5 linked regions of the Oryctolagus cuniculus genome follow. The protein of the gene in region 5 interacts with the protein of the main gene of each other region in a pairwise test. Links are inferred from orthologs where the notes say so. Each region holds a gene or a part of one and is shown on either strand. Other genes may lie near its edges. The genes, in order: CNOT4, RNF111, MUL1, RNF167 and UBE2E3.

Region 1 (4,066 bases), about 110 Mb from region 5:
TATTATCTTTTACTCTATTTCATGTAAGAGAAAGGCTTTTTCTTGTTTTTCTTTCTCTCTCTCTCTCTCTCTTTTTTTTTTTTTTTGAAAGGCAGAGAGAGAGTGAGAGAGCAAGAGCAAGCGAGCTTCCATTCATTGATTCACTTCCCAAGTGGCTACAACAACCAGATCTGGACCAGGCAGAAATCAGGAGCCAGGAATTCCATCCTGGTCTCCCATGTGTATGCAAGGGCCCAATTCCTTGGACCATCTTCCACTGCCTTCCCAGTAGCATTAGCCAGAAGCTGGCTTGGAAGTATGGAGTAGCTGGTACTCAAACCAGCACTATGATATGGGATGTTGACGTCACCAGTGGCGGCTAAACCTGTTGCACCAAGCAGTGGCCCCTGCATAGGCTTGCTTCTTTCTCTTCTTTTTCTCTTTCCTTCCTTCCCTCCCTGTCTTCCTGTCTCTACCCCTCCCTCTCCCTCTCCCTCTCCCTCTCCCTCTCCCTCTCCCTCTCCCTCTCCCTCTCCCTCTCCCTCTCCCTCTCTCTCTCTCTCCTTAGTTAGTTATTTACTTACTTACTTGAAAGAGTTACAGAGACAGAGAGAGAGAGAGAGATCTCCCATCTGCTGGTTCATTCCCCAGATGGTCGCAACAGTCACGGCTGGATTATGTAGAAGACAGGATCTTATCCAGTCTCCCATGTGGGTGGCAGGGGCCAAGCAGTTGGGTCATCTGCTGCTGCTTTTCCAGGACCATTACCAGGGATCAAGATGGGAAATGAAGCAGCTGGGACTCAAATCAGAATCATAGGCAGCAATTTTACCTTCTATGCCATAATGCCAGCCCCCTTTCTTTCTTTATTCTTTTTAAATATTTTTTTGTTTGAAAGCCAGAGTGACAGAGATAGGGAGAGGCAGAGAGAAAGAGATCTTCCTTTAACTGGTTCACTTGCCAAATGGCCACAGTGGCCTGGGTTGGGCCAGGCTGAAGCCCAGAACTCCATCCAAGTTTCCCACATGAGTGGCAGGGGCTCAGGTACTTGAACTGTCTTCCACTGCTTTGCGAGGTGCATTAGCAGGTGAACTGGGTCAGAAACAGAGCAGCCAGGAGTTGAATCAGTGCTCCCACATGGGATGCCAGCATCTTCCGTAACAGCTTACCCTTACGCTGCACCACAGTGCTGGTCCCTGTGTGGATTCTTTTTAATGACTGTGGCCACATACTTCAAGAACACTTGTCTTCCTGAAAGTTTTTTCATATAGTTATACATCCTTTTTTTTTTTAATTTCAGGGGAATTTCATGTCCCTTCTTTGAAATTTCCCTTCTTTAGAGTTCACTTTTTGATTAATTAGAAACCATTTTAAGTTGTTCAACCTGGTGATATGACTACTTCAAAGATTAGAATTTGCCCTGGACACCAAGCCTTCCTGTAAATGAGGGTATTCTAGGACTTCCATTTGTCACTGTGATCTCATTTGTGTCTTGTGCAGTTAGGGAGCCAAAGGGAAATTCTAATGATCTTATTTTTGATTCGAATTTTTTTTTCTTGGTTGCAAAATGACCAGTTTTCCTGCCAACCATAGCTAATGGACATAATGTAATTATTCTGTGTTTTTTGTCTCATAGGTTGCAGGTTTTCCCTTACATATTTGACCCATTTAAAAAAATCCTCGATTAGTTTACACAAAGAAGATCAACATAGAGAGTTTGGTACTACTTTAACAAAGAGTCTTTAGATAGAATCTTGATTCATTCTTTCAGTAATAAGTCCTGTGAAATTGGATAAATTATGTTGCAGTCTGTTTTTTTTTTTTTTCTATAAAATGCAGATTATTCCTCCTCCTCTGCCTACCCCACAGGGCTGTTGTGGGGATAATGAAGTAATTGGCTGTGAAGTGCCTTGACAAATGTTACAGCACTACAAATGTAAAATAGCATGGAAATTTAAGAAGGGTGAGGTTTAGTAAATTATATCAGTTGTGAAAAGATGTTTGAAGAATATTTCCCCTTTTGTCTTGTTTGTAAAGTGTAAGGTACTTCTTCTTCATCTTAGTAACCTCAGAGATGGCTTTCATCGGATTTGGTTGTAGTTTTTGGTCTTTTTATAAATAAGGTTAGTCAAGTTAAAGGTTCATTTGCATGATGTAATGTGGCACAGAGCAGTGACTGATACAAAGCAAAATTATAGAAAGAAAATTCCAAATTCACCAGATCAGACAGACTGTGCCTCATAGAACATCATTATCATCGCCATCCTCATTATCATCCTCAATTCTGTAGAGCCAAAAATATTTTTCCTTTTTTTTTTTTTTTTTTTTTTCAAAAACTCCAGTTGGTAATTTGGCCTGTGTTCTTATATTCTAAGCAGTTGTTAGGCTTACCTATGGTGGTAGATCAGGTTAGTCACAATTTCTATAAAGTCTGTTCATTGATAGTGTCTTTTATTTGATGTAACTCATAACTGGATCCAGAAAATTGTAGGAGCCCAGGAGTCAGGTGTTGAATGATAGGCAGAACTGTTGGAGGGCAGTAGGCAGACTGTATTGGAAATTATTCTAAGAGATGTCTTAGCCCCCTGCCTCTTGGCACTACCAGGAAAATGTTCTTTTCAAACTCAGAGAAGCCTGTTCATTACCGTCCTTCACCTCTAAAAAACATTTATATCATTTTATAATCAGAAGAACTTAATCATTTTTCTTTTCCTACTGACTGTGTTTATCCTTCAGAAAATGACTTTTCCATTCAGCGGGCTCAGAAATAGGCTCCTGTAGTGAACTTGGCAGACTTGCGTTTTTCGTAGCGCTCAGCTGGCCAGATGCCTCACTGACACACTTCCTAATGTGGCATCGATCAGATTGTGCTCCCGAGCACTGAGTCTGTACACTGGACTGTGACGTGCACACACGCAATGGTGAAGCTGCTCGAGACAGATGAGAAACTCCTTGTCCTGCCCCTAAAGCAAGTTTTCTCACTTACTTCGGGGGCTCTGAGCTCACGAGCAGAATCCTAACCACGTTTATCTTGCTAGGACAACTTATTTTAAATGCTCAGTAAAGAAAGAGTAAATCTTCTCCCGCTTAACCACTAAAGAACAACACATGTTTCTAACGTCAGCTTTTTATTTTTTTTTTATCTTTCATTTTTTGTTGGTAAATCTCCCAGACAACAGCAGTTCTGTAGAGAGTTTAAATATGAAGGAATGGCAGGACGGGCTAAGGGCACTTCTACCCAACATTAACATCAACTTTGGTGGACTGCCCAATTCTTCTTCCCCCTCCAACGCCAACCACAGTGCACCAACGTCCAACACTGCCACCACCGAAAGCCTGAGTTGGGACAGCCCTGGCAGCTGGACAGACCCAGCCATCATCACAGGTAACTCTCTCACTCCCTTCAGCTCCACTCACTGCCATCGATTTGGTTTTTAGCACAGATTATATTAAGACAGAAGTCTCTTCAACAAAAGTTTCTCTTTACAAAGTCACGAACGTGGGGTGCTTGTCTCATTCTCAGAGGTCATGCAGTCTTGGTGAACCTATCAGCCTAGTCCTGTCCTAAGGCATTGGGTGCCTCATTTGCTTCTTTTGGTCTAAGTAGGTGTTAATGTCTGGCAGCATGCGTGTATTTTGTAGGCCTCAAAGTGCAAAAGGATCTGATTTTAGCCTTCTTATAAGGAACATACTCCACTTTTTTTTTTCTTTTAAATAAAGCTCTCTATTATAAGGCTATCTTGTTGATGTATCCCTGTTAGAGAAGGAAAAGCATGATTGGGAAGTACCACCTTCGGGGTAATCATTTGCAGCTCCGCCTCTGTGACACTGGGGGACTAAGTTTGTGTAGTTGAAGTCAAGGGTTCATGTGACAGTAAATCGTGGTCGTTGTGGCTGGGAGGATGAAAGGAGCATAAGGTTTAAAAGATCTTACGTGGAAGGGGTTGAAGGTCATAATTTCCTTGGGGTTCCTTCTTGGAGAAACTAACCCCTTTTGTTTTTTTCTAAATTTTTTCGGCAAACTTATTCCTTCTGCACAAACTCACCATTTTTCCTCTTTGTTTTCTTTTCTCTCCTTTAGGTATTC
Region 2 (4,066 bases), on a different chromosome or scaffold from region 5:
TCAAAGGCAGAGATACAGGGAGAAAGAGAGATATCTTCCATTCTTTGGTTCACTCCCCAAATGGCCTCAATGGCTGGGGCTCCTCCAGAAGCTGAAAGCTTCTTCTGGGTCTCCCACGTGGGTGCAGGGGCCCAAGCACTTGGACCATCTTCTTCTGCCTTCCCAGCTGCATTATCAGGGAGCTGGTCGGAAATGAGCAGCTGGGACTTGAACTGGCGCCCATGTGGCATGTCTGCACGGCAGGTGGAGGCTTAGCTTTCTAAACTGCAGCACTGGCACGAAGACTATTATCTTGAGGTTGAGTTTTGTTGGAAAATTCTGTGCATTTTTATCTATTGATAAGATCACGGGCCAGTGCCGTGGCTCAATAGGCTAATCCTCCACCTAGCGGCGCCAGCACACCGGGTTCTAGTCCTGGTCGGGGCACCGGATTCTGTCCCGGTTGCCCCTCTTCCAGGCCCACTCTCTGCTGTGGCCCAGGAGTGCAGTGGAGGATGGCCCAAGTGCTTGGACTCTGCACCCCATGGGAGACCAGGAAAAGCACCTGGCTCCTGCCGTCGGATCAGCGCAGTGCGCCGGCTGTAGTGCACCAGCCGCGGCGGCCATTGGAGGGTGAACCAACGGCAAAGGAAGACCTTTCTCTCTGTCTCTCTCTCACTATCCACTCTGCCTGTCAAAAAAAAAAAATAATAATAAGGTCATATAATTTTCCTCTTGAAGTTTGAGGTACCAAGAGCATCAGGATTATGTGAGAGTGTTTGCTACATAGGATTCTTTATGTAAATCAGGAAATCTTTATTTCATGAAACAACTGTTTTTTTTTTCTATTCTGATCATATTGTTAGTGTTATGAGAGGTTTTTTTTTTTAGAGATTTATTTATTTGAGGGACAGAGTTACATAGAGGTGGAGGAAGGGAGGGACGGAGAGAGGGGAGGGGAGAGAGAGAGGGAGAGGGGTCTTCCATCCACTCTTCCATCCACTGGTTCACTCCCCAGATGGCCACAACAGCTGGAGCTGGGCTGGTCTGAAGCCAGGAGTCAGGAGCTTCTGTGTATCCCACACGTGTGCAGGGGCCCAAGGACTTGCCTCATCTTCCACTGCTTCCCAGGCCATAGCAGAGAGCTGGATTGGAAGTGGAGCACCTGGGACTAGAACTGGTACCCATATGGGATGCTGGCACTGCAGGTGGTGGCTTTACCTGCTACACCAGTGCCAGCCCCACTACTGAATGCTTAGTTGTACTTATGTGTATTTACTAAGGTTGATTGAATTTTTGAGTACTTGGAGAGCAATGAATATCTTGAATTATTCAGTGTTAATAGTCAGTTACACATCTGTTCTTAACTGATTTAGTCTGTCTTTTTTTTTTTTTTTTTTTTATTAAAACAGGTTCCTGACATGGCAGGCTATCCTCATATCCGTTACATTTCATCAGGATTGGATGGAACATCATTCAGAGGTCCTTTCAGGGGCAATTTTGAGGTATGTAATAAGTGAAGATATGTATCACAGTATTTTCAGTGCAGAAGAATATATATATAGATATGTTGCTAGTATTCATAATTACGTAGGACTAATACAATGACTGGGAATCATGAAGCAGTAAAATGTACCATTTTCTGATATTGCTTCTGGGGTTATAGAAAATTTGATAGGAAACATTAATCTTAGGTTAAAAAGTATTTAAAGAATAAATTAAAATATCTAAATATAAAGATATATTAAATCAGTATAAAAATAGTGAACAATATAATTTAATGTATGGGGAAAACCTTGATGCTTTTTTTTTTCTGGTTTTAATGATTTATTTATTTCGGGACAGGCATTGTGGTATATTGGGTAAAGCTTCTGCTTACAGTGCCAGCATCCCATGAGTGTTTTCAAATAAATAAATCTGCAGAATTACAAAGAGAGAGACAGATCTTCCATCCTGTGGTTCACTCCCCAAATGACCACAAGGGCTAAGGCTGCACCAGACCAAAGCGAGGAGCTCCCACATGGGTGCAGGGGCTCAAGCACTTGGGCCAACTTCCACTGCATTCCTAGGCATATTAGCAGGAAGGTGCATCAGACATGGAGTAGCCAGCATTGGAACTGGGTCCCATACAGTGTGCCAGTATTGTAGGCAGCGGCTCAACCTGCTGCACCACAAAGCCAGCCCCAAACCTTTGCCTTTGCCTGAGCTTAATTTTTAGTGAAACATTGCTGGAGACAAAAATAGCTTAAATAATTTACTTTGTAGCTAAATATTTCAAGTCCTTGTTTCTTCATGTTAGTTTAGAAATTACAGTTGATATGATTTATGAAAATTGTTTAATTTGCTTCCCTAATTTGCTAGAATGAATGATTTCTTCTACATGTGTACAAACTTACTGATTTTGTAATACCATGTGGTAATACTTATATTGTTACCCAAATTTATAAGGATGACTTTGTGAAACTACTTCAGGTGGCTGAGCAAAAAATTTTGAAACCATCATTTGCTATACCATATATAAGAACTGTTGTGTAAACAAACTGTTACCTTGTCAAATGTAAGATTATTACTCCTGTACAGTATTGACAACATTGTTTAAAATATTATCGTCCTGGCTTTTAATCGTAGTTACCCTTCCCTTTCAGGAACTGATTCATTTGGAAGAAAGATTAGGAAATGTCAATCGTGGAGCATCCCAGGGGACAATTGAAAGATGTACATATCCCCATAAATATAAAAAGGTAAGAAATTATTCCATGAAACTTCTAGAATATTATTGAAATGTGTAACGTTCAGTATTATGGCTTTCCGTTGAACTTGTGGAACCTAGTAGATATGTTATTTATTTACTTACTTATTTTTAAAGATTTATTTATTTGAGAGGCAGAGTTACAGAGAGACAGAGAGCAGTCTTCTATCCACTGCTTCACTCCTCAAATGGCTGCAACAGCCAGAGCTGGACCAATCTGATGCCAGGAGCCAGGAGCTTCTTCCAGGTCTCCCACATGGGTGCAGCAGCTCAAGCACTTGGGCCATCTTCCACTGCTTTCCCAGCTATTAACAGAGAGCTTGATCAGAAGTGGAGCAGTCAGGATACTTACCGGCTCCTATATGGAATGCTGGCACTCTCTGTTATTACTGAAGCAAAATATACTTAGGATTAACATTTTCTTGGAAGTACAGAAATAAATTCTTCTTCCAGAATTTTTGTGCCTTCTATAATGTACACACACACACACACATATATTTCTTTTGCATTAAAACATAATACAAAGAGGATGATGTGCAGATAGTTTTGTATGTTGCCTTTGTATTCTGTCAGTACTCAGCTCACCTATATATTTTTTTTTCAAGATTTATTTACTTATTTGAAAGAGTTACAGAGAAAGGGAGAGAGAGAGATAGTCCAGGCACTTGGTTAACTCCCCAGATGGCTACAACAGCTGGGTCTGGGTGAGGCCGAAGCCATGAGCCAGGAGCCTTCTGCAGGTCTCCCATAGGGTAGCAGTGACACAAGCAGTTGGGTCATCCTCTGCTGTTTTTCCCAGGCCTGTAGCAGGGGGCTGGATCCAAAGTGGAGCAGCCAAGACTTGGACTGGCACCCCTAATGGGATGCTGGCACTGCAGGCCACAGCTTTACCTACTAAGCCACAGCTACATTCTTCTTAATAGTTTACATCATGACAATACTGTAATTTTTTTTTTTTTTAAGTAATCACTTACCTTGATGGATATTTAGTTGCTCTATAATTCTAATATTTCCTTCCTTGGAAGTTAAGAGTAGACATGTCAAATAAGTTTCTTAAATGATGCTCTGTGCTATACAGAGAATAATATTAAGGTGTAAAAATGACTCTTCTTTATATTTTTCATCTGTTTATAAGAGTATTAGTGAAGTGTTGCAACTAAATTTAAGTTCTTTCAACTGTCTAAATACTGTAACATTAATTTATATGGATATTATTGAAATATTAATTAGTAAAATAAAATGTATTTAACTATGCTCATGATAGAACAAAAATAGAATTTGTATTATTTGGAATCTTCATTGAGGATTAAAAGTAATAGATTTCAAACTAATGTATTT
Region 3 (4,773 bases), on a different chromosome or scaffold from region 5:
GCAGAGAGCTGTCACACACACAGGCACAGGCAGCCTCCTTCCTGCACACCCCACCATGGGGAACGTTGTGCCACCCAGTAACTAAAACATACACTCAAAACATAAAAGGCACCGTCAGTCTGCATACTGCGCACTGGTCACCACTCAGTCTCTTCTTGACAACAAAGAGCTATGGCACAACAGCTTAGGTAAAATCACCTAAACCAGGGCAGCTGCTGTGGCTCGGCAGGTTAAGACCCCGCTAAGGATGCCCGCACCCCACACCACAGCACCGGTTCAGGTTAAGGCTACTCCACTTCCAATCCAACACGCCTGCTAATGCATGCTGGGAAGCAGCAGATGACGGCTCAAGGGCTTGGGCCCTGCCACCCACAGGGGAGACACAGATGGAGATCCAGCACCAGGCTCCTGATTTGGGCCTGGTCTAGTCTTGGCCGTTGCAGACATCTGGGGAGGGAACCAGCTGATGCAAGACATCTCTCCATCTCTCTCTCTCTCAGCCTTTACAAGTAAACTAAAATAAAACAAACAACACCCCAGGCACTCAAGTATGAGATGCAGGCACCCCAAGTGGCATCAACTGCTATGCTACATTCCTGTCCTCAATAAGTCTCGAGAAGGCAGGTAAGTGCCCTCTATAGAGGTTAGAGTTACTGGACACATATTAAAAGTCACTGACTTTAAGAAGCTATGGCTACACGGCGAATGGCAGGAGAAAAGTCAACAAAAACTTCATTAGCACCTACACAGCAGCAACAATTACTTAGTATTACTTAGCTCCTCCACTGGACTGTTAACCTCTTTGTCTTGTTCACTGCTGTCCCATTAGTGCCAACAACAGGCCAGACACACAGCAGGCACCTGGTCCATATTTGACTATAAATCAGTGCTTAAACAAGCACCTGGCTACACCACAGCCCAGGCACTGCCGACACAGGCAGGATCTGACGTCCACGCCACCTGCCAGGGTAGCCATTGTCATCCCTAATTACTGAGAAGGGAACAGAAGCCAGAGTCACATGGCTCGCATCCATCACAGGGCGGCTGAGGAGGATTTTAAAAGGGGAGGGGCGAGCATGGCTTCCAGGCTGGGGGGGGGGGGGCTCTAGAGCAACTTGTCTCCAGTCTGTTGTGAAAACGGAAAAAGAGGGGGAAACACGAGCTCCTGGGATTTGTATGCAGGTTATGTGACCTTGGATCCTAGGGGCTGGCACACAGCTGAGACACAAACCCTACTTCGGCAGCTTTCCAATGTGATCAAGAAAACAGAGCCCCAAGTGTCGGGGCCGAACTTTCTCCAGGAAGGGGCCACCTCGTGCTCATCCAGGAACTAATTGGCAAAGCTTTTAGGGTCACCCAAAGATGGGACCTGCAGGGTTCTCCCTTCGAAGCACCTACAGCCAGCCACTGCTAGGAGACACTGGTTTGGGAGGCAGAAAGAGCCGAGCACTTCAGGCGTGACTAGATCATTTAATTAGGTGAACAGGGCAGCTGGAATCTCACCAGGGGGCCATTTGCACAGCGAATTGAGCGCCTGGTAAATTGGTTCATTTCAGATCCCAAACTCCCTTCTCCGCAGGGATGCCACACGTTTGTTTCCAAGCCCTCACAGAATCCAGCCCATGATAATGAAGTGTCAGTCAAGCCCCAGCTGCGGCACTGAGGCGCTCCAGCCAATACAGGCCCAAGACTCTTCTTGCACTCCAAGCCCGGAGCTAGAACCCCTAAGAGAAGAAAGAGAGAAAACCCTGTCTCCGACCTAAGAGACCCGTCTCTAGAAGAATCAGATATTCCCAATAAAGCAATGTGGCCAACTGGAAAAAATAAAAATCTCACTTTTGGAATCAAACAACCGAGGTTTAAAGTTCCAAGCTGTCTAACTGTAGTACCTTTTTCCTGAACCTCAACTCCCTGCTTTGCTATTTAAGGGCAATTATCATTTTATCTACCTTAAAAAATTATTGTGGGAGGCCAGCGTTGCGGCCCAGCGGGTTCAGCTGCTCCCTACAGGGGCGCCGGCTGGAGTCCCGGCTGCTCCACTTCGGACCCGGCTCCCTGCCAGTGCGCCTGGGAAAGCAGCGGAGATGACCCAGGTGTCCGCGCCCCTCCCAGGGAGCTCCTGGCTCCTGTCTGGCCCAAGCCCTGGCCACTGCGGCCACTCTGGAGTGAACCCGCGGAGGGAAGATCTCCTCCTCTCACTTCCTCTCTGTAACTCTGCCTTTCACAAAACTCTAACATAAAACGCAGGGCCCGCAGCAGCAGGCGCAGGCCCCTGTCTGAGCCGCTCCTCCGCCCCCTCCTGCACGGGGCTCAGACGTCGCTTCCTCCGGCCCTCCACGCCCGTCTCACCACGTGGCGTGCGTGTTTACTGCCGCCCGGCGCCGCTGCCGGGCGTCCCCGCGAGAGGCTGCTCACTGCCCCGCGCACGGCACGAGCCCCACAAACGTGTTAAAAACCAGGCAACGAAGCCGAGCTTCCAGAGTGAAGGCACCTGGGAGAAACGCAGCCGGGCGGCGCTTCTCACCGCCCCGACGTCGGCCCTCGCTCCTCCCCAGCCTGCGGCCGCGGGGCGGCCCACGCCAACTCAGCCCTCACCGCGACCTGGGGCGGAGACCACCTGGCTGAGGCCCGGCCGGCTCCCGCACTGACCTTGAGCTCTCGGGAGACCTGGGCCTTCTGCCGGTACACCGAGTACAGCACGGCGGTGACGACCGAGCTGGTGCCCAGGAGGATGAACTGGCCCAGCGAGGGCTTCCCCCCGCTCTCCATGGCGGCGCCAAGCCCCGGGGGCAGAGCGACGCCCAGGAGTGACCGGCTGACCCCCGCCCTCCACCTGGGACACCACCCCCCGGGACGGCCCTTCCCGGAACTTCCCGCCCCGTCGCCCGGCGATGACGTAAACGCCGGAACCGGAAGTGGGGCAAAGTGGCCCGGAAGTGGCGTTGCTAGGGCAACCGCCGGGCTCTTGAGGCCCGCGGGTGTGGAGAGCCGGTTTTTCGCGGCTGAGCGATGGCACACGGCGCCGTGACCGTTGTCCTGTCCACCCGCGGCGTCCTGGCCATAACTGACTCGTCCCAGCCCTGTGGTTTCCTGGAGTTCTTGGGTCGTGCGCTGTCTCCACCCTTGGATTGGGAGGAAAGAGAAGTGTGTGTTAAGCACTTAGGAGTGTCGATGCGTTTAAACCTGAGGACAGACTTTGAGGCCTGGACTTTATCTTGTCCGCTTTACAGATGGGAAAGCTAAGGCCAGAGAGGTTGGGGGCTGTGCTCCGAGTCCTCCTCCTGGGGTTAGGGGTGACCCGACTCCAGAGCCCTCATGATGCCGCTGAAGTAGCCCCTTCTCGGCCATCACCGAATGAAAAGTACTGGTTATTAAGTAGCTGGCATTGCATCTACTGAGTGCCTATTCTGTGTCAGGTACGGAACGGAAAGTGCCTTAGGCCTCCACTGACTCCTCGCAGCCCTGCGATAGTGCAGACTGCAGATGCAGGGGCCGGCCCGGGCGCGGGCTTCGGACCCAGGTGGTCCTTCTCGGAGGCGCTGTGGGACCTGCAGTGCACCTGCTCCCTAGCAAGCAGATCTGCAGAACCCTGCAACTCTGTTCCCTGGGTCATCGCAAAGCGTGCTTTCAGTTCTTGGAAATGCGGAATAAACCTGTCAGTGTAAAAACGTGGCTAGAAACGAGATCGCTCCACAAAAGTAAAATAACTTTTTAAAAAGCAGCCGGGGGCCAGCTTTGTGGCTCCGTGGGTTCAGCCTCAGCCTGCAACTCTAGTATCCCATATGGTGGCTGGTTCCTGGCCTGGCTGCTCTACTGGGGATCCAGCTCCCTGCTAATGTGTCTGGGAAAGCAGCAGAGGATGGCCCAAGTGAGTGGGCCCCTGTACCCACATGGGAGACCCAGATTAAGTTCCTGGCTCCTGGGATAGGCCTGTCCCAGCTCTGACAATGCATTGGGCCATTTGGGAAATGAACCAGTGGATGGAAGATCTGTCTCTTTGTCTCTCTCTAACTCTGCCTTTCAAATAAATCTCTTTTTTTTTTTAAGATTTCTTTATTTATTTGAAAGAGTTACACAGAGAGAGGAGAGACAGAGAGAGGTCTTCCATCCGATGGTTCACTCCCCAATTGGCCGCAACAGCCAGAGCTGTGCCAATCAGAAACCAGGAGTCAGGAGCTTCCTCCAGGTCTCCCACATAGGTGCAGGGGCCCAAGGACTTGGGCCATCTTCTGCTGCTTTCCCAGGCCACAGCAGAGAGCTGGATGGGAAGTGGAGCGGCCGAGTCTTGAACCAGTGCCGGTGCCTCAGGCCAGGGCGTTAACCCACTGCACCACAGCATCGGCCCCTCAAATAAATCTTTAAATAAAAGCAGCTGGTTATCCATTATTTTTCTAGTCTATTCCTTTAAGATGCTTAGAATCAAATAGAAATCTTTTTCTTGGGCCGGTGTTGCGGTGTAATGAGCTAACCTGCCACTTGCAGCCCTGGCACCCCATTCCAGAGCACCAGTTCAAGTCTCAGCTTCCTGCTAATGCGCCTGGGAAGTCAGTGGAGAATGGCCCAGCTGCTTGGGGCCCCAACACCTGGATGAAGTTCCAGGCTCCTGGCTTCGCCCTGGCCCAGCGCTGGCCATTGCAGCAACAGGGAGTGAACCAGCAGATGGAAGATCTCTGCTTCTTTCCGTATCTCTCACTTCATCTCTCCCCTCTCTTACTTTCAAAAAATAATTTTTAAAAGTGCAAGAATCGGCCGGCGCCGCGGCTCACTAGGCTA
Region 4 (4,731 bases), on a different chromosome or scaffold from region 5:
GCCAGTCGGGGTTAGAGAGGACAAGCAGAGAAGCAGAGGTAAGGGAAGTGGGTTTGAGGGAGGAGGTGGGGGGGGGGTAGGAGGAGCGGAAATGGGGCCGGGCTTCTGTTATGGCCTTATATGGGCACTGGAGGCTCCAGGGCCAGGAGACCCGGCCTCTCCTTACCTGGTTCTTCGTTCCCTGACTGCATCTTCTCCACTCCCATATTTCTGCCCTCTGCACCTCCTCCCTCATAAGCAAAGTCCATTCCTGCATTATCTCCCCAGCTGCCTCACTCCAGCACCTTTTCGTCCCATCTCCCGTCCCCACTGATTTTCTGGGTAAAGAGAAAGGTGGCACCTCCAGTTGAGGCCCTCTCACTGCCATCTTTTTCACTCCTCATCGCCCACGTCAAACTCAGAACCAGGTAAGCTCTGAAAATGGCTCTCCTCTCCCCTCGGCCCTTACCCTTCTGATAATCATGCGTAGGAATCTGTCTCAGCTGCTCTTTGGTGAGTCGATTTCGCTGGAGCCGTTTCCGGTGCTGGATACAACGAACTATCTGGGGGAAGGGAGGTGGACGGATCAGACTCAGAAGAAAACCGGACAAGTGTGAACTCTGCCTCCAGTTCCAATCTGGGTTCCTAAGTCCAGCTCTTCCTATCATGTCCCCTGAGCTACTCACCATCACCGCTCCCATGGCCAAAACCAGCAGTCCCACAATCCCGGTGAACGGGATGAGGTAATAGCCCAGAGGGAAGCTGTTGTCTGGAACCAGAAGCACCCGAGCCCTAGGGAAGGGACAACAGTGTCACAGGGGCAAGAAAGGCCGGAGGACAAAGCACACAGGACAGAGTAACTGGTGCTGCGGCCACGGGGCGGGGCGGGGCAGGAGTGACCTGAGCTGAGTGCTGGGGGCCAGGAGGAGAGGGAGGGAGGCGCGTGTCCTACCCCTTCTCATAGACAAAGAGGGCGCGCAGGTACTCGGAGCTCCTCTCCCCGATGAACACTGACGGGATCCAGATCTGCTGCTGGATTTCCTCTGCAAGGAGCACGCTGTTGGGGGGGCTCACCCTCCACTTCTCAGGCCCTCGGGGAGCCCTGCCGGCTGACGCGTCTGTCCCCTCCCACCCAAAATACTGGCTGCTTTGGCCTGAGCCGTCAGCCCTCCCACCAGCTCTGTCAGCTCTCCGACAAACCCCGCCTCGCAGAGCCACCCACTTACCACTGTTCCACACCATGTTCAGAAGTTCGTTGGAATTCACGTTGTGCACCACGGCTGCCCCGTACCCGGCCTTCTGTGCATTCAGGACCTAGCGAAACAAGGCAGGGGTAGGGAGCCATCATGGGCCTTGCCTTGCTTCATTTCTGGTCCACTCTTTTTCACCCTTAGCTTCCCAGCTCCCACTCCACGTTCAGCAACCTTGAGGTCAAAGTTGCAGTCGAATCTTCGAAGCAGTGCAATAAAGACTGACCCATTGACCGGGGCTGGGGGTGGTGGGGCAATGGGGCTGCAGGCATTGTCTGGGTGAGCCTCCACAAGGAACCCCTGCGGGAGAGAGGCAGATGACAGTTAGGTTTCTCCTCTCTAGGTTCTGGCCCCCCCATACCACACAGCCTCTGTCCTCACTTCCTTCTCACTCCTGGGTCTCGGCACCCCACCCAAACCAGAGTCTGTCTCCTCCCTCAGCCTCCTGAAAGTGCAGCCACATCAAACAGCTGCCTCTCCCGTCCCAGGTCGCCTGCCTGCACGCCATACCTACACTGACGCAGTCCCGCAGATTCAGCTTCCCCACAGATTGTAATTCCATTCTCTACGCAGCCACGTTTTCCTAAATTGTTTTACATTCGCAGCTCCAGTCCACACTGCCCTCCCTTCAGTCAGTTTCCCAACTACCCATCTACACCCAAATCTGCAGCCCACCGAGAGCTGCTATGTGGCAGCCCTGGCAATAAAGTCCTGCAACGCCGCTTATCCAATTGTCACTAATTTAACTTATCTAATTGTAATCACGGTAACTCTGAAGTAACTTCCATGATCACCCCACTTCGCAGTAATCAAAGGCTCAGAGAGATGATATCGAAGGTCATGCGACCAATAGCTGGCTGGGGACCCTACTGCTGAGCGCCAGTCATCGCCTTTGCAGTCTCCGGGTAAGCCCAGAGTGGAGAGTGGGCACTGTCTTCTTCCCCTAGATTCTGGATTCCACGCATGTTCACGCACTTCGATCCTAACCGGACTCTAACTATCCCCAGCCAGACCCGGGGCATGGCTCCTCAACCCCGCCCAGGATGGAGGATTTGGACAAAGAGGGGAGGGGAAAAAAAAAAAAAAAAGAACGCCAATCACCTGGAGTCCCTCCTGGCTCAGGGAGGCCCCAAACAGAGCTGGCAGGTCTGCAAAGTCCATGCTGGCATTGTGCTCCGAGGTCTGGGGGCACAAAACGTCCACGTTCCCCTCCGGCCCGCAACGCCCCCCTCCGGCGCCCTTCCTCCACCCGCCCCACAGACTCACCGCTCGGATGAGGCCCCGGATGGGGGCTGCTCCCCACAGCACGGCGGCCACAACCACAGGAAGCGGGAAGGCCGCGCGGTGCATGGCAGCGGGCGGGGAGAGGCCGAGGAGGCCGCGGCCCGGGAGCAGAAGCAGAAGCGGGGCTCTGCGCCCTCCCCGCCGCTCCCTCAGGATCCCAGGGGTCCAACCACCCCCAGGTCCCACTTCCCAGCTACATGGGGGCGCCGGGGAAGGAACCCCGACCCGGGGAGCGAGGCCCCAAGCCCGTTTAGCGGAGCTGGGTCGGAGACTCTAAATGGACCCTTTTCTGGATTGGGGACAAAACGGGGAGAGGGGACGGAAGGAAACACAGGTGACAGCAAAACTTCTGGAAGGGTGGGGGAGCCCCGGGAGGTGGGACTTCCGGCCAGGTGGGCCGTCTTCCTATCCCTGGGAAAAAGGTTTCCGACAAAGAGTCAGGCCGCTTCCAGCATTGGCCGCTCAAGATGAAGGACTTCCGGTCCTGAAAGGCCGGTTAAGAGAAAAATTAGAGATGGAGGGATTGTCTGTGGAAACGGAGGGCGCACGGCTGCCCCCCAGAAGAAGAGCGAATCATTTCCCCCTTAGTGCCCGGGAACCTGGGGCTTCCCTGTTTACAAACCTCTCCGCTCCCTGTGGCCGCCGCTGCCGCCGCACCTGCAAGTCTCGCGAGAAGGCTTACCAGCCCACTCCCCCGCCCCCACGGCTGCCGAAAGCTTGCTCTACATATCGCGAGAGCCCTCCTAACTCTGGGAGCCGGACTGACTAGATCTCGCGAGACCTCGAACAGCTTGTCTAGTTTCCCGCGATTCCAAGTCGGTGAAGACTGTGCCTATACGCCAGTTTCCAACCAAGCCACGCCCCTTCCCGCACGCAGCCTTTAAGCTCCTCCTTCAGGGTCGCCTTACTCCCGGCGGCCTTTGCGCTTTGCGCCTGCGCGGGCGCCGGCTTGCAGCTGGTGCTGGACCTGGGAGCCGGAGGGGCGTGCGCGCGCGCCCTCGCCCTGTTGCGCGCGCGGTGTCACCTTGGGCGCGAGCGGGGCCGCGCGCTCTCGGGACCCGGAGCCAGGGCCATTGAGTGGCGATGGCGGCGACGGCGAGTCCCGGGGCCGGCGGGATGGACGGGAAGCCCCGTACCTCCCCTAAGTCCGTCAAGTTCCTGTTTGGGGGCCTGGCCGGGTAAGCTCAGGCCCCAGGGATGGGAAAGGAGGAGGAAGGGACGGACGGGCCCGGTTCATCTCTGGGACTGTTTCAGTGAACTGAGCCTGCTTGAGGGTCAGCGCGATCCCCAGCGTGTTGGGAGGTTCCTGATGGGCTGCCCCTGACTGCATGCAGGGTCTTGGCACGATCCCCCACCCCGCACCTCCCCAGTCCGTTGCTTGGTTCCGCAGGGCTGTTTAGGGTTCCATGACTCTAGGGGACTACTTAGTGCCCCAGGTCGTGGATACGCCCTTGGCCCGCTCCCTGGGTCGCACTGCATGCGGTCCCGGCCCACCGGGCCCACCGATGGACTCCCGTGGATCTGCTTGGAGTAGTTTCATTGCATGACCCCTAATGGACAATGGACTTTCCAGAACCCGCTGCTGTTGGTACACACAGAGACTGTCAGACACATGCCTACCAGCCCTCCTTAATCCCTAATCCGAGGCAGGCCCTGACCTTAGTAACCCCTTGTGCTAGGCTGCAGTAGGCAGCGGGAGATCTTGCACACGTGGCCCTTGACCCTGCTCCCACCTTCCTCCAGGATGGGAGCTACGGTTTTTGTGCAGCCCCTGGACCTGGTGAAGAACCGGATGCAGCTGAGCGGGGAAGGTGCCAAGACCAAAGAGTACAAAACCAGCTTCCATGCCCTTACCAGCATCCTGAAGGCGGAAGGGATAAGGGGCATTTACACCGGGTACTGGGGCCTCCAAGGTTGGGGGGAGGGTGTGGGTTTGGCAGATGCAAGCCTTGGCCCCACACACTGACCCCTCTGCTCTCCAGGCTGTCAGCTGGCCTGCTGCGCCAGGCCACCTACACCACTACTCGTCTTGGCATCTATACCGTGCTGTTTGAGCGCCTGACTGGGGCTGATGGGACACCCCCTGGCTTTCTGCTAAAGGCTGTGATTGGCATGACCGCAGGTGCAACTGGTGCTTTTGTGGGAACACCAGCGGAGGTGGCTCTGATCCGCATGACTGCCGATGGCCGGTGAGTTCCAACTCGGAGCCTGACCTCAG
Region 5 (3,910 bases):
TATGAAATCTATTTTAAAACACTTTTTACCAAAGAAATTCTCTTTTCAAGCTTATATGCAAATGAGAAAAAAGGGAGGAGGGAAAGCACTAGAATATTTGACAATGACTTCGAGTCACTTTTACTGCGGTAAAAATGAACAAGCTACTGCAGAAATACATTAATAGTTCTGACAATATTTTATCTGTCCCCAAAAAAGTTTAAAATGTACAATTATCTTTACCAGTGAAAAACTTCCAAAGACTATTTGGCATTCTTATTTAACCATTTGTTTTCCCTGATCTTAGACACAGCACTGAAATGTAATGAATTTGGGGGTGTGGGGGAGGATAAGATATACAGCCTTGAGTTAAAAGCAGGGCAAAAAGTAGTTCCCTGATTTTCTTCAAATTTAAGACTCTTTCAAAACTTAAAATGTGTTTAATATATTCTCCAAGACTACAATAAATTGCAGATTTAAATTACATCCAAGATTGAAGCCATTTGATAAAATATTCTCAAGTTATTAAAACCTGGTTACTGATATAATAAAGGTGTATATCCATTAAAAACAGCATTTCTGAATCACTATAAAATGCAGTTATTTGATCAGCTTTTGCATTTTCTTTTTCTTTTAGTTGTAGTCAACAACAACAAAAAATCAAAATGTCACTGCTGGTTAATACTGCAGACACATTTTACGTGTAATTACAGTTCCACAAGGCACTCCACTACTGCTACCGACCGAGTCTCACTGACAGAAGCAGTGTTTTCCCCTCATAGAAAATAGAAATCAACAAGAAACAAATGATCTTTCACTTACACCCAACAAAATATGTTTCTCCTGCTGTTGAATATTAGTGTGTCAAGCACACCTAGGAGTTTGAGTGAGGAGTCAATGACAATTTCAAAGACAATGAAAGTTTCCAATTAGCAACTGACACCTGAAATGGAAATGGCTACTTTTCAACTGCATTTGCCTTCACAAGATGAAGGGGGTAACCACCATTTAACTACCAAAAGTTATACCCTTGATGCAGAAGTAAAAGTCTTGTTTGAAAAAGTGAAATCGATTCAGGGCATAATTTTCAATCTGCTTTCAAATACATAGCCAAGGCCTGGGATTTATAAGTTTCCCATCCAACGTGATCATTTCTGATCATTCAGCTGCAGAAAGGGGAGCACTGCTGATCAATTCCACCATAGAAGGTATGACCCACAACAGGAAACATCCCCTGTGTACCACCTCATCTGGGTCCACCAAATTTCTCCTTGCCAATTCCTTAATCTGTCAGAATGCTAGTCCAATCTCCAATCAAGGACGTTCTCACTGAGGTTACCAGAGTACACAGTAAGTTTGCTTAAAAGTACAATTCTAGCAAGGTCGCTCATCCGACCACCTCCTGAAGAATGACATCTCATTCAGGTACAAATCCAATTGGTCGTGAAGTATTTCTCAACTATCAGTAGTGTGTAAAACCAACAGAAGCAGCAGACCATTTGTAAGACAGCCGGAGGGTGCCCTCGCCCCTCGGTTTACACATTACCTTTTAGCACTAGTGGATAACTTAGCAGTGGTTTTGCTAGAGAGTTTGGTGTTCTTCTTCTGCTGGGTGGCAGAAGGTTTTCTTTCTTCTTGTTCCTCAGGCTCTGGAGCGGCTGGGTCTCTCTGGTCCGCATCTGAACTGCCACTGCTGGTGCTGGGGCTCTCATCGTCGGACCTCTGCCTATCACTGGACATCTTGGTGAAGTGACCTCTTGGAAAACTTTTGAAGAGAGGGAGGGAGGGGAAGGAAAGGTTAGCTCTAGGAAATAAACCAGCAGCATTCTCTCCTCCTGGGAGACCCCTAAAATGGTATTTTAATGAAAAAGCGCCAGGAGGGTTCACACTTATCTCACCGTGCACCAAGGTTACAGGGGAGGTGATGTGTGTCTCTCAACACCAGCACGCAGGGACTGACCGGACTCAAGTTAGAAAACCCACTCACATTTTTCCCCCAGCCCCTTGGACAATCTATCAATTGTCTACTTTCTGAGAAGGCATGAGACAGATCTGCCAGGAAACTTAACATATGACACGCTGTAAATAACAGATCTCGCTGAAAAATGTGAAAAAGTCACTAATAACGTCTAAATATTTACACACTGACATTGGTCAAAGCCACCAAATTCCCCTCCCGAGAGGAAAACATACCCTGTTAATCGCCCATATGCTTATTTAACGTGGCGATCCCCCCCCCCCTCCTCTGTGCACGTAAAGCCTTCAAACACTACACTTAAAAAATTTTAAAAATCAACTAACGAGCTGCTCCAGCCGCCTCCACGGCCAGCAGCGAAGACTCAGCCGGCCAAGACCGAGCTGCCATCCTGGGAAGAGCAGAATCCAAACTGCACCTTCTGCAAAGCTCCCAATGCCACCAAGGTCCCTCGCTCAATTTTTACATCACGGACCGACATTTTGTCCAAAATAATGAGAAGAGGAGGGGGGGGAAAAAAAGCCCAGAGGCAAAACAAACAAACAAACAAAGCCCCAAGAAGTGCAACAAATTTCCGCGCCCGCCGAGGCGAGCCGGGGCCGGCGGCGGCGGCGGCGGCAGCGGCGGCCACGCAGCTCCGCGGCCCTTTGTGGGGAGGGCCGCGCGGGGGCCGCGGGCAGCGCTCGCCGCGCCGGGCGCCAAGTGATGCGAGCGGCCCGGCCGGCCCCGCCGCGGCTCGCGGACACCGGCGGCGCGGGCGCCCGGCGCGAACAAAGCTGCCCGCCCCCGCCCCCTCCCCCACCGCCGCCGCCGCCCCGGCCGCCCCCCACGCGGCCCCCCGGCCCCGCCGCCTTACCTCGGCCGCCCGCCCGGCCCGCTCGCGCGCCGCTACGGTGTGGGGGAGGGAGAGAGAAAAAAACCCTTCCTTAAGGAAATGGAGGCAGCTGGGGGGGGGGAAAGGGGGGGGAGGGAAAAAAAGAAGCCGAGGAGGCTCTGGCCGGGGAGTGTGGAACATTGAAAGTCGGAGGGGGTTGTGCAGTGCCGGGCTCCGGCCGGAGGGTGGCGCCGCCCAGCGCCTTCGGGAAAAAGTGGGGGGTGGGAGCTCGCCTGGGCGAGGGCGCGAGCTCCCGGCGAGGCGGAGGGGACGCGGGAGACCCCCGCGCGCTGTGGCCTCCCGCCGCCGCCGCCGCCGCCGCCGCCCGGCTCGGCTCCTCCCGGCCGCGCAGTCAGCAAGTTCCGAGGCGAGCGCGGGGGGAGGGGCGGGCGCGGCGGCGGCGCGCGTGCTCGCTGCTTGCCTGGCGGAGGGGCGCGCGCCGCCGGCGGGCACGAGCCGTTCTCGCGCGCTCCCGCACGCTCGCTCTCCGCACCTCCCTTCACCCGGGGGGGCGCACGCGTTCGCCCGCGCGCGGCCAGGACAAAGAGCGCGGCGGGGACCCGGCGGGCTGGCCCCTGCCGCCCTGGGCCGCGGAGTCGGTGCAGGAGGAGGCGGGGGCGCGAGCGCCGTCTCGCGGGGCCGCCGTGCCGCGGGGTGGCTTCCGGCCTGGGCCCGCCTCCGGGGCGAGGCTGCCCATTGGGCTACCCGCCTCCCCGGGGCTTGACTACATCCCTCGGACCTGCGCGGGGGCGGCCGTGCGCCTCGGGTCCTCAGTAGCCGAGGCCAGCCCTGGACGCGTGGTGGGGAGTCCCCTGCTGCTCCGGGAGCCCGGAGATGGATGGGTGTTGACGAGCCGGGCTCGCGGACCGGGGAGAGCTGCGTCTTGCCCCTCCTGTGAGCAGAGGCAGGGGCAAGGTAGGGTCCTGGGCGTTGAAGGAGGCAGAAAGGCATTAGGCTGGGAGACCAGCCTCTGCTTCTCTTGTGGCTCTCAGCGTGCAGCTGTCGCTGCCAAAGGGGACTGCCCTTCGGATGCTTTGAAAACTTAAAAAATCCAACGCAGTTTTTTAAATGTCCCGCTCAAG

The links.
Region 1: the proteins of UBE2E3 (region 5) and CNOT4 interact in a two-hybrid assay, tested with the Homo sapiens proteins (3 studies listed by BioGRID and IntAct). The link is inferred for Oryctolagus cuniculus from reciprocal best matches to the Homo sapiens genes UBE2E3 and CNOT4.
Region 2: the proteins of UBE2E3 (region 5) and RNF111 interact in a two-hybrid assay, tested with the Homo sapiens proteins (2 studies listed by BioGRID and IntAct). The link is inferred for Oryctolagus cuniculus from reciprocal best matches to the Homo sapiens genes UBE2E3 and RNF111.
Region 3: the proteins of UBE2E3 (region 5) and MUL1 interact in a two-hybrid assay, tested with the Homo sapiens proteins (2 studies listed by BioGRID and IntAct). The link is inferred for Oryctolagus cuniculus from reciprocal best matches to the Homo sapiens genes UBE2E3 and MUL1.
Region 4: the proteins of UBE2E3 (region 5) and RNF167 interact in a two-hybrid assay, tested with the Homo sapiens proteins (2 studies listed by BioGRID and IntAct). The link is inferred for Oryctolagus cuniculus from reciprocal best matches to the Homo sapiens genes UBE2E3 and RNF167.

The regions. Positions count from the first base shown.
Region 1 is NC_091434.1:171,179,847-171,183,912, reverse strand, and holds part of CNOT4 (CCR4-NOT transcription complex subunit 4), read left to right. Parts: intron 1-3,151; coding exon 3,152-3,364; intron 3,365-4,060; coding exon 4,061-4,066. UniProt on the Homo sapiens protein: Has E3 ubiquitin ligase activity, promoting ubiquitination and degradation of target proteins. Involved in activation of the JAK/STAT pathway. Catalyzes ubiquitination of methylated RBM15.
Region 2 is NC_091443.1:81,954,320-81,958,385, forward strand, and holds part of RNF111 (E3 ubiquitin-protein ligase Arkadia), read left to right. Parts: intron 1-1,391; coding exon 1,392-1,484; intron 1,485-2,624; coding exon 2,625-2,720; intron 2,721-4,066. UniProt on the Homo sapiens protein: E3 ubiquitin-protein ligase. Required for mesoderm patterning during embryonic development. Acts as an enhancer of the transcriptional responses of the SMAD2/SMAD3 effectors, which are activated downstream of BMP.
Region 3 is NC_091438.1:150,240,574-150,245,346, reverse strand, and holds the start of MUL1 (mitochondrial ubiquitin ligase activator of NFKB 1), read right to left. Parts: upstream 2,887-4,773; 5' UTR 2,770-2,886; coding exon 2,650-2,769; intron 1,725-2,649; exon of another isoform or gene 1,552-1,724; coding exon of another isoform or gene 1,504-1,551; intron 1-1,503. UniProt on the Homo sapiens protein: Exhibits weak E3 ubiquitin-protein ligase activity. E3 ubiquitin ligases accept ubiquitin from an E2 ubiquitin-conjugating enzyme in the form of a thioester and then directly transfer the ubiquitin to targeted substrates.
Region 4 is NC_091448.1:51,300,180-51,304,910, forward strand, and holds the start of RNF167 (E3 ubiquitin-protein ligase RNF167), read right to left. Parts: upstream 3,273-4,731; 5' UTR 3,136-3,272; intron 2,998-3,135; 5' UTR 2,580-2,997; coding exon 2,496-2,579; intron 2,412-2,495; coding exon 2,331-2,411; intron 1,530-2,330; coding exon 1,404-1,529; intron 1,294-1,403; coding exon 1,206-1,293; intron 1,023-1,205; coding exon 932-1,022; intron 772-931; coding exon 666-771; intron 543-665; coding exon 449-542; intron 1-448. Other genes in the region: SLC25A11 (mitochondrial 2-oxoglutarate/malate carrier protein), read left to right, coding at 3,597-3,691, 4,257-4,409, 4,496-4,702.
Region 5 is NC_091434.1:59,977,266-59,981,175, forward strand, and holds the start of UBE2E3 (ubiquitin-conjugating enzyme E2 E3), read right to left. Parts: upstream 2,173-3,910; intron 1,745-2,172; 5' UTR 1,720-1,744; coding exon 1,526-1,719; intron 1-1,525. Other genes in the region: translation initiation factor IF-2, read left to right, coding at 2,449-2,847, 2,924-3,874. UniProt on the Homo sapiens protein: Accepts ubiquitin from the E1 complex and catalyzes its covalent attachment to other proteins. In vitro catalyzes 'Lys-11'- and 'Lys-48'-, as well as 'Lys-63'-linked polyubiquitination.